2 linked regions of the Tribolium castaneum genome follow. The protein of the gene in region 2 binds, or shares a complex with, the protein of the main gene of each other region. Links are inferred from orthologs where the notes say so. Each region holds a gene or a part of one and is shown on either strand. Other genes may lie near its edges.

Region 1 (3,281 bases), on a different chromosome or scaffold from region 2:
ATCGGGCCTATTTCCCTCCACTTTCGGACATGTTCCAGTAAGTACCTAATTTATTATCACACACAATTTTAATTAATTAAGTTTTCGACCCAAATTTGGTAAATTTTAATTATGCCACCGTCGCAAAAAATCCAAGTGAAATTAACCGACCCCATCGACCCCTTAATCGAAACCGAGCAAGTTTTTATCCCCTTTCCCTTATCACAAGAAGTGAAGAAATCGTCGCAATGGGCCGCTTGGGCAAGAAACACACCTTTCGGTATTTTGTCAGTCAGTGTTTTAGAGGTAAACCAGATTTTTGCATTATTTTTAGCTAATGTTTATGGTAATTCACCAGATAATCTTCTACGCTGCCTCGGATGAAAAAACCCAAAAACTGCTCCGCTTCGAACCGCACAAACTGACCGAAATTTGGCGATTCGTCACCTACATGCTTTTGCACGAAGACTGGATCCACCTGACTCTCAATATTTTCATGCAAGTGCTTTTCGCCTATTTTTTAGAAGCGCGACACGGAAGCGTGCGGATTCTTGTTTTGTACGTGACCGGGGGAATCACCGGAGTCTTGGGAGCGGCCTGTTTTCACCCCGACTTGGTCATTGGGGCCTCCGGGGGCGTGTATGCGCTTTTAATTTCGCACATTTCCGATATTTTTCTAGTAGGTATAAAGCGAGCGAGAAACAACATTTTTGTAATTTTTTTCAGAACTTTGAAACCTTGAATTACAAAATCTACAGATCTGCGTGTATCGGAATAATCGTCATTTTCGACATTATCTACAACGTGTTACATGCCAATTTTAAAAAGGAGCCTTTGATATCGTGGGGGGCCCACATGATCGGGGGCCTCGCAGGCCTGTTTTTGGGTCTAGTGCTCTTCAAGCAAAAACCGTCAATTGCACGCACACGGAGATTAGTTTTATTTTTGGTGGGTTTATTACTTTACGTAATTTTATTGATCTCGCTTGTAATAATAACCGTTCAGATTAAAAAATGTACTCCGAAGGATGCCATACGCAAGCGGTATGTTTATTTTTGCTGATATTTTTTTTATAACGAGTGTTTGGCTATAAATGTGCGGTAGCAAAGTAAAGCGTGAAATTACACAACTTATAGATGTTTGCGGCTATTTTTAGACGTTGGTTTTGTAAAAAAGTGAAAAATAAACGATTAAACAAACTGCTGCTTACTTGGTTGCACGCTCATCACAACACCACTAGCTCAACTGAGATTTTTTTAACGTTTTTAACACTTAAATCTGCGTTTTCTCGTTCTTTTTTTATATCTATACAAATATGTGTACGTTTTAAGGTATATTTTTTACGTTTGTTTTAGAGTTTATAGTATAATATGTTTAATTATGACATAAAAAAAACATAAATAAAGTTAGGTATGCAACTAACTTAACCGCGTTGCATGTTAAGTTGCCTGTATTAAGTCGATTGAGGTTATATTGTTTAATGTTTGGGGCTGTATTTATGTTAAATACACGTTTGCGCCCTTTGTAATCGTATAATTGGTAATAAAACCAGACTTTGTACAGTAATATTGCCTATTAAACGTGCGTTTAATTCACAAAAAGTTATTTTTTCTTAACCTCAAAATGGTGAACAAGTTGAATAAATCGTTCTATAACACTGTTTTGAGCCAGACTTTCACCCCGTGTGGCAACTATCTCGTCGTAGGTGACATTTACGGCACAATTTCGGTCTTCCAGTAAGTATTAAGTAACTTCCAGCAGCCCCCTGAACCCCAGTTCCAGCCTTTCCAAGCTAACAAACCAAGGATCTTCGATCACAAAAGAAGACCAACTGCCCAAAAACGCATTCACGATTAAAGAAGACGTCCAAATCAACAGTTTATTGACCATGAAAGCGTTCCTTGTTGTGGGGACAGTTGGCGAGATTTTGGGGTACTCCTGGAAGAACGTCAAAACGAGCAAAAAACCCTCCTGCTCGTGGACAATTGAAATCCCGAACTCCAAAGACAGTTTCGACAAACCTGACGTTAATTGTTTAGTGTTTGAGCCCGAAAATAATTTATTATTTGCCGCCTGTGGCGATAATAATGTTTACGTTTTCAACATCGAGACACGAAAAGAAGTGCGGTGTTTTAAAGGGCACAAGAATTACGTTCACTGCATCAATTTCTGGTAAGTGATTACAGGAACCTGTACTTTGGTCACATGGCATTTCAGTAACAATAAACTGGTTTCGGGGGGCGAAGACGGGCTTGTGCTGCTATGGGATGTGAGAGGAGGCCCCCCAGTGAGCAAAATCGAGCCCCACAGTAGGGATAAAGTGGCCAGGGTGGAGCTGGGGCCCTGGATAGGGGGCGTTGGGATTAACGATGATTGGCTGGTATGTCAGCAATTTTGGGCGAAGTGGCCCCCCTTAAATGATTTTTTAGTTGTGCGGCGGCGGCCCCCGACTGTCTTTATGGCACTTGCGCTCCCTGAATATCGCCACAGTGTTCCCCATTGACGATAAAGGGATTCATGTGGCGGAGGTCTACCAAGACAGGATTTTCGCAGGGGGGCGCTCTAATTTATTCTACCAAATGAGTTTTAACGGGGACATTATCACGGAAATTCCGACGTCTCCTGTGACCACGTACAGTGCGGTGCATCAGGATGAGCCCTTCCAGACTTTGTGCATTGCGGGGTCGAGCCCCAAAATCGACGTTTGTAGCAACTTTATCTACAAAAATTTGCAACTATCTCTGTATTAAGTCTTTAGTAAAATAATAAACCATAAATAATTCGTCCAGAATTTGAATTTGACAGCTGTCATTGATGCTCTTTAGGTTAGGATAAGGTACCGTTAAAGAGTCAAAAATCGCTCGAATGTGACCCCAAATCGTTTATAACCCTTATTATTTTTTTAAGAACAATTAAGTTACAGTATGGCCAAGTTTGAGTGCTCAAATTGGCGTATTATTGTGTGAAATCGCAAATTTCATATTTAAGTTGGCAGGACTGTATTAAAAGACAATTTAAACTGTTTGAAATAAATTTTTAATAAATAATTTGTACAACTTTTATTTACAAAAATCCGTGTCCGGCTATAACCGCCGGTATGAACCCCTCCTCTCCCTCCTTGTTGCGCACCCAGAACCACCCCGGCACATGGGTACCCTGGAGTACCACAACGTCGCCTTTCTGCACCTGAAGGGCATTTTTTTCGGTGCCAAAGTAGTCACTGTTGATGACTAGGAGTGTTTGTCGTTGGATTTTGCCACGTTTTGAGGATGCCAAAGCGCTGAGGTAGAGTCGATCGACGC
Region 2 (4,356 bases):
AAAAAATTAGTAATGTTAAACTTAAGGTTGTTGCGCTCTTTGGTAGTCAATTCTGAAATCAACGTTTGCAAAAAAGCGTGAAATTTGAGTTTTGACATAAAGTTGAGGTTTAAAATATGATTTGAATTTAATTTTTAGCTTACCAATTTTTTCAACTTATTTTTCAATAAAAATCGTTTTTTTTTTTAAAATATCCCTTGGTTTTCCACTGTAAAAAAACAGGATTCAGTGACGAATTATATAGTAAATTTTCGCATTTAATCATTTTTAAAATCCTCTTGAAAATATCAGTTTATAATCGAATATAGTGCGGTAAAACTTTTATTAAAATAGTGGAGTGTTAAGAGCGTAACGAGTTTGGCAACAAAACTGTTTACCTAAATGAAATTCAAAGCAAAACACAAAAACACTTCATTTATGTTTGCGCAGTTTTAATAACGTTTAGCGGTGTTTTATGCCTCGAAACAATTACGAAATAATTAATCTAATTTTTTTATTTTTAATAACAAAGCTTGCAAATTTATATTTTTTGGGGGAAATACATCAAAGCTAGATGGAGCCACTTCTGGCGGCGCATTCAAATGGCGAATAAATCCCCATGCCGTATTTTACTTTGTCCCAATTGTCTCAGAACGTTTTAAAGTCGGCGTTTTCTTTTTGCGGCATAAACCGTCTGTCTAGAAAATTAAGAAATACCTCGGTGAACTAATTCGCGTAAAGTCGTGCGGAAAGCTTTTCGTTCTCTTGTATAATGTGTTTTCGGACAGGCGATAAAATTTTATCGTCGTCCAGCAATATTTCCTACGTGTGATCCTATGTAGTAGTTCTGACGCGACACCTTTTTTATCATCTTGAGAACCCGTCCACATCCTCGATAACCAATACAAGAGAAACGTGCCACTGCAAACCTGGTCCTTAGCAAAATGGATGAGTAGTCAAGAACATCCAAGTCCTATCTTAACACTGCTCGATTTTATACCTGGAGAATTTTACGAGCGCTCGCGTGTAAACAACACTTGGAAGGAGATTGAAAAATACTACAAAAAACTATTAAATTACGAAGTTTACACGATTAGAATAGCTCCTGTTTATTGGGCCAAGTAATTATTCGGGGACCGATAATTGCTTTAATTCGGGCGGAAAGCGGCAAGAAGTGCGCGATGTTTAATTAAAGCAGGTAAAAACGCGTTCAAATTTCGCGCCATTCACAATTCACCCATATTTAGTGAAATAATCACGAAAATCGCCCTTAATACAATAGTGATTACCATTTACAGTCTTGATATTAAAAAGTGCGATTTTATTTTTTTTAATGTTTTTACACGAACGACAAGTCCGGTACTCTGAATGATTATATAACGACCCAAATGTTACATAATCCGATTACGTAACAACTAATAATTGAAATTATCCAAATTATTTATAATATAAGTCGCAATGTTTGGATTTTGATTTAAAAACACAGAAATTAATTCGTTTAAACCAAGATGTGGTGTCCTGAAACAAAATGGCGTCTGTTGTCTGTCAGTTTGCGCATTTCTAACCTCAAATTTTTTGTCGGCTTGTTTACATAATCTTTTTTGCTTAAAAAAATGGTTAAAGAGTCAAGTAGTTTGAAAAAAAAGCGCAAAAGTGGGACTAGTGCCGACAATGAGGCCGAAATCGACATTTATAAAGTAATTACGCCTCCCTAATTTTGGTTATCACATTTATTGATTTTTTTGCAGAAATCGGTCGAATTTGAGGAGAAAGAGGCCCTCAATCGACCGAACGATACCGACGCTCAGATTTACTTCAACACGTGCAAAGAAATTCGGCATTTATTCGCCGAAATAAGTGAACTGAAAATGAAGAGTGGGTCTGATGTAAATTGGAATTTTGTCGCTTTTTTGTATATTTTTTGGGTGTGCTTTGTAGGTCAGGGCTAAAATTACGGAAAAAACCACCGAAGTGTGTCTATTATTGGTGCTTTTGAAAAAACTGAACCGCATGGAGAAGGTGCGTTTGGTTTTTCCAAAAGAACAATTGGCTGCGGAAAAACAAAAAGTGGACAGTATTAATTTACAATATCAGAACTTGTTGTACGAGGCTAACCATCTGATGTCGGAATATCGCAAATGTTTCCAGTTCAAGTAACGAAAACCCCCTTTTTGTGTAAACCCCCCAAAAATTTCTTTCAGGTCTAAAGACGAGCACATCGAGCTGGTCCCCGTTGAGGAGTTCCTCGCCGAAGCGCCGAAAAATTTAACGACAAAATTCAAAAAAGTTGGTTTAATTTTTTTAATTTCAAAAACTTTAAAAAAAATTTTAGTTTGATGAAACCGACGAAATGGCGAAGCACGAGCTGCGGCTCGCGCGCCTCGAGTGGGAGCTCCAGCAGCGTATTCATTTGGCCGACATGTGCAAAAAACTTGAAGAGGAGAAGAAAAAACTAGAGGGGGATATTGCCGAACGTCGCAATAAATTGGATAAATTGGGGCCCCTCTTGTCTTCGGTCATGGAGGCCACGAAACCGGTGCAGGAGCACCTGGGGCTCCACATTGACAAGATCCAGGCTGAACACAAGCTTGCCTCGCTTCTACCCAACCCCCTTTACTTGTTTTATGCCAATATTGACGCCTACAGACAGGTGAACGACTCGGGGATGAGTGTGGAGATTATGGGGGACCAGGAGGAGGCTAGTCAATGGAAGGAGTTGGAGTTGGCAGAGGATGAAGAAGAGGAGGAGGAGGACATGGAACCGGAAGCTGAGATACAGGAGGTGGAGGAAATTGTCGAAACGAAGAAACGGCGTCACCGGAAGTCGGTACATGTTGATCCACTTGAGGAGAAAAAACGCAAGTTGTTACAAGTTCACCCGCTTTCTGTACAAGTTACTGTCACTACTAAAGACGGTCCTTCAATTAAAATTCGACTAAGTTATTACGCAAAATTGGAAATCGTCACTGTATCTTCAAGCGTCAATATTCCGAGCAATATTACAGGTACTTGACCCACTATCTACAAAAATCCTCTTTTAGACAAAAAAAAACGGATAGTTACAGGTATTTTGTGAATGATAAGGAAAAACAACATAAACTACACCTTTTTTACTTGGTTTGTTTTCCGTCTCTATTTACAATTGAGTCATGTCCTGTTATTATCGGAATATGCTGAAATTTTGCATACTCACGTAATATCCGTGAGCGTGAGCAGCAAAAAATTCTTCTCGCTTTTAAAGGGAAAATCATACTTTCTTACTTTTTTACTATAATGGAGGAAAAAATGCAAATTTTTTTTAGTGACCCCCGAGTGTCTTTCTTACAGGAAACGCAGCTCGTGAGGTCTTATCAAACGAAAGCGTCCTCGTGGAGCTGGTGGAGGGCGACTTCGGGCTGGACAGCCCCAACCCGTGCACCCCTTACCAACTGAAAAAAGTCGGCTTGGGGTCCTTCCAAAGCCTCGTCCCAGAGCTTGGCTACGTCTACACGTGGGCGCAAAAAATGTGCGGCATTGATTTTTTGAATAAAATGTCCGGTTCGGATCAACTGAGCCAAACTAACGTCGAGTCGGTCATGAAAACAATAAAAAAGCGCCTAAAGTCGCGGTATGCCTTGGCGAAACAATTGGAGGAGTTGGAGCGGAATGTGATTCCTGTTTTGCCGGCTAGTGTCGATTTGCCGCGAACCACGATTTCGAGTCTTACGAAATGGTCATCAGGGACGTATCAAAGCTTTTGCGAGGCTAAATTTACGGAGGGTTTGCTAGAAGCTGAGTTAATTTCGCCGAATGATATTTTCTATAAAGCGACAATCACGCGTGATAAAGGTAAGTTTGGTGAGTCACGTGATTAATTAGTGTTTTTTTTGTATTTTAGCAAATTTGCAAGCTTTTGTTGTTATCAAGAACGATTATCCGTCAATTCCACCAATTTTTGCGCTTTGTTTGAACTATAACGGGACTAGACATTCGCAGAATGATGATAATATTCGGGTTTGTTGGTAATTTTGGGTTTTTGGGTTGGTCTCACTCGTTTTACAGGACATGGAACGGTCGATTAATGTCGATTGGAACCACGAATTTTCAAATGCAAATTGGCTTTTGTCGGCCCAGATTATGTCATTGTGTGTCGGACTGGACATTTATCTGGAAACGGAGGACCCTGGGACGTTTCAACAGAACACCATGTATATTAAATCGACTTGGTAGGGATTTTGAGTTTGTTTTTTGGGGGTAATTTTGGTTTTTCAGCGCCAGAAATAGGAGAAAGCCGTTCAAATTCAGGAATATTGGGGTTGGGGTCTACACCCAATGAGTTTTTTTTTTTGACAAATAAATGAGTTTTTTGAATCGTGTTGTGTTTTTACTTTTGCCGCA

What was found. The genes of interacting proteins can lie anywhere in the genome.
Region 1: the proteins of thoc5 (region 2) and thoc6 are in contact, whole or in part, in a cryo-EM structure (PDB 7APK), measured with the Homo sapiens proteins. The link is inferred for Tribolium castaneum from reciprocal best matches to the Homo sapiens genes THOC5 and THOC6. Residues at the interface, in NP_001002877.1 of Homo sapiens: Pro406, Gly407, Asp538, Ile539, Val540, Asp541, Ala542, Gly543, Leu544, Ser575, Ile576, Ser593, Asp596, Arg599, Glu602, Gly603, Asn606, Val607, Tyr609, Arg660, Phe662, Arg663, Gly664, Pro665, Ser666, Arg667; in NP_001334633.1 of Homo sapiens: Val5, Pro6, Ala8, Val9, Pro10, Leu11, Gly12, Gln13, Val16, Phe17, Leu20, Gln21, Leu23, His24, Met25, Thr26, Phe28, Tyr45, Tyr80, Asp94, Glu125, Val126, Pro127, Glu128, Asn130, Gly146, Tyr170, His172, Glu188, Trp222.

Annotation. Positions count from the first base shown.
Region 1 is NC_087395.1:25,800,643-25,803,923, forward strand, and holds thoc6 (THO complex subunit 6), read left to right. Parts: upstream 1-1,421; 5' UTR 1,422-1,602; coding exon 1,603-1,715; intron 1,716-1,761; coding exon 1,762-2,151; intron 2,152-2,196; coding exon 2,197-2,359; intron 2,360-2,408; coding exon 2,409-2,729; 3' UTR 2,730-2,761; downstream 2,762-3,281. Other genes in the region: DNA oxidative demethylase ALKBH2, read right to left, coding at 1,190-1,205; protein rhomboid, read left to right, coding at 112-285, 338-658, 706-1,041; uncharacterized protein LOC103314375, read right to left, coding at 3,043-3,281. UniProt on the Homo sapiens protein: Component of the THO subcomplex of the TREX complex which is thought to couple mRNA transcription, processing and nuclear export, and which specifically associates with spliced mRNA and not with unspliced pre-mRNA.
Region 2 is NC_087399.1:3,176,381-3,180,736, forward strand, and holds thoc5 (THO complex subunit 5 homolog), read left to right. Parts: upstream 1-1,493; 5' UTR 1,494-1,592; coding exon 1,593-1,676; intron 1,677-1,727; coding exon 1,728-1,865; intron 1,866-1,917; coding exon 1,918-2,132; intron 2,133-2,180; coding exon 2,181-2,265; intron 2,266-2,311; coding exon 2,312-2,984; intron 2,985-3,306; coding exon 3,307-3,807; intron 3,808-3,856; coding exon 3,857-3,972; intron 3,973-4,020; coding exon 4,021-4,184; intron 4,185-4,230; coding exon 4,231-4,294; 3' UTR 4,295-4,330; downstream 4,331-4,356. UniProt on the Homo sapiens protein: Component of the THO subcomplex of the TREX complex which is thought to couple mRNA transcription, processing and nuclear export, and which specifically associates with spliced mRNA and not with unspliced pre-mRNA.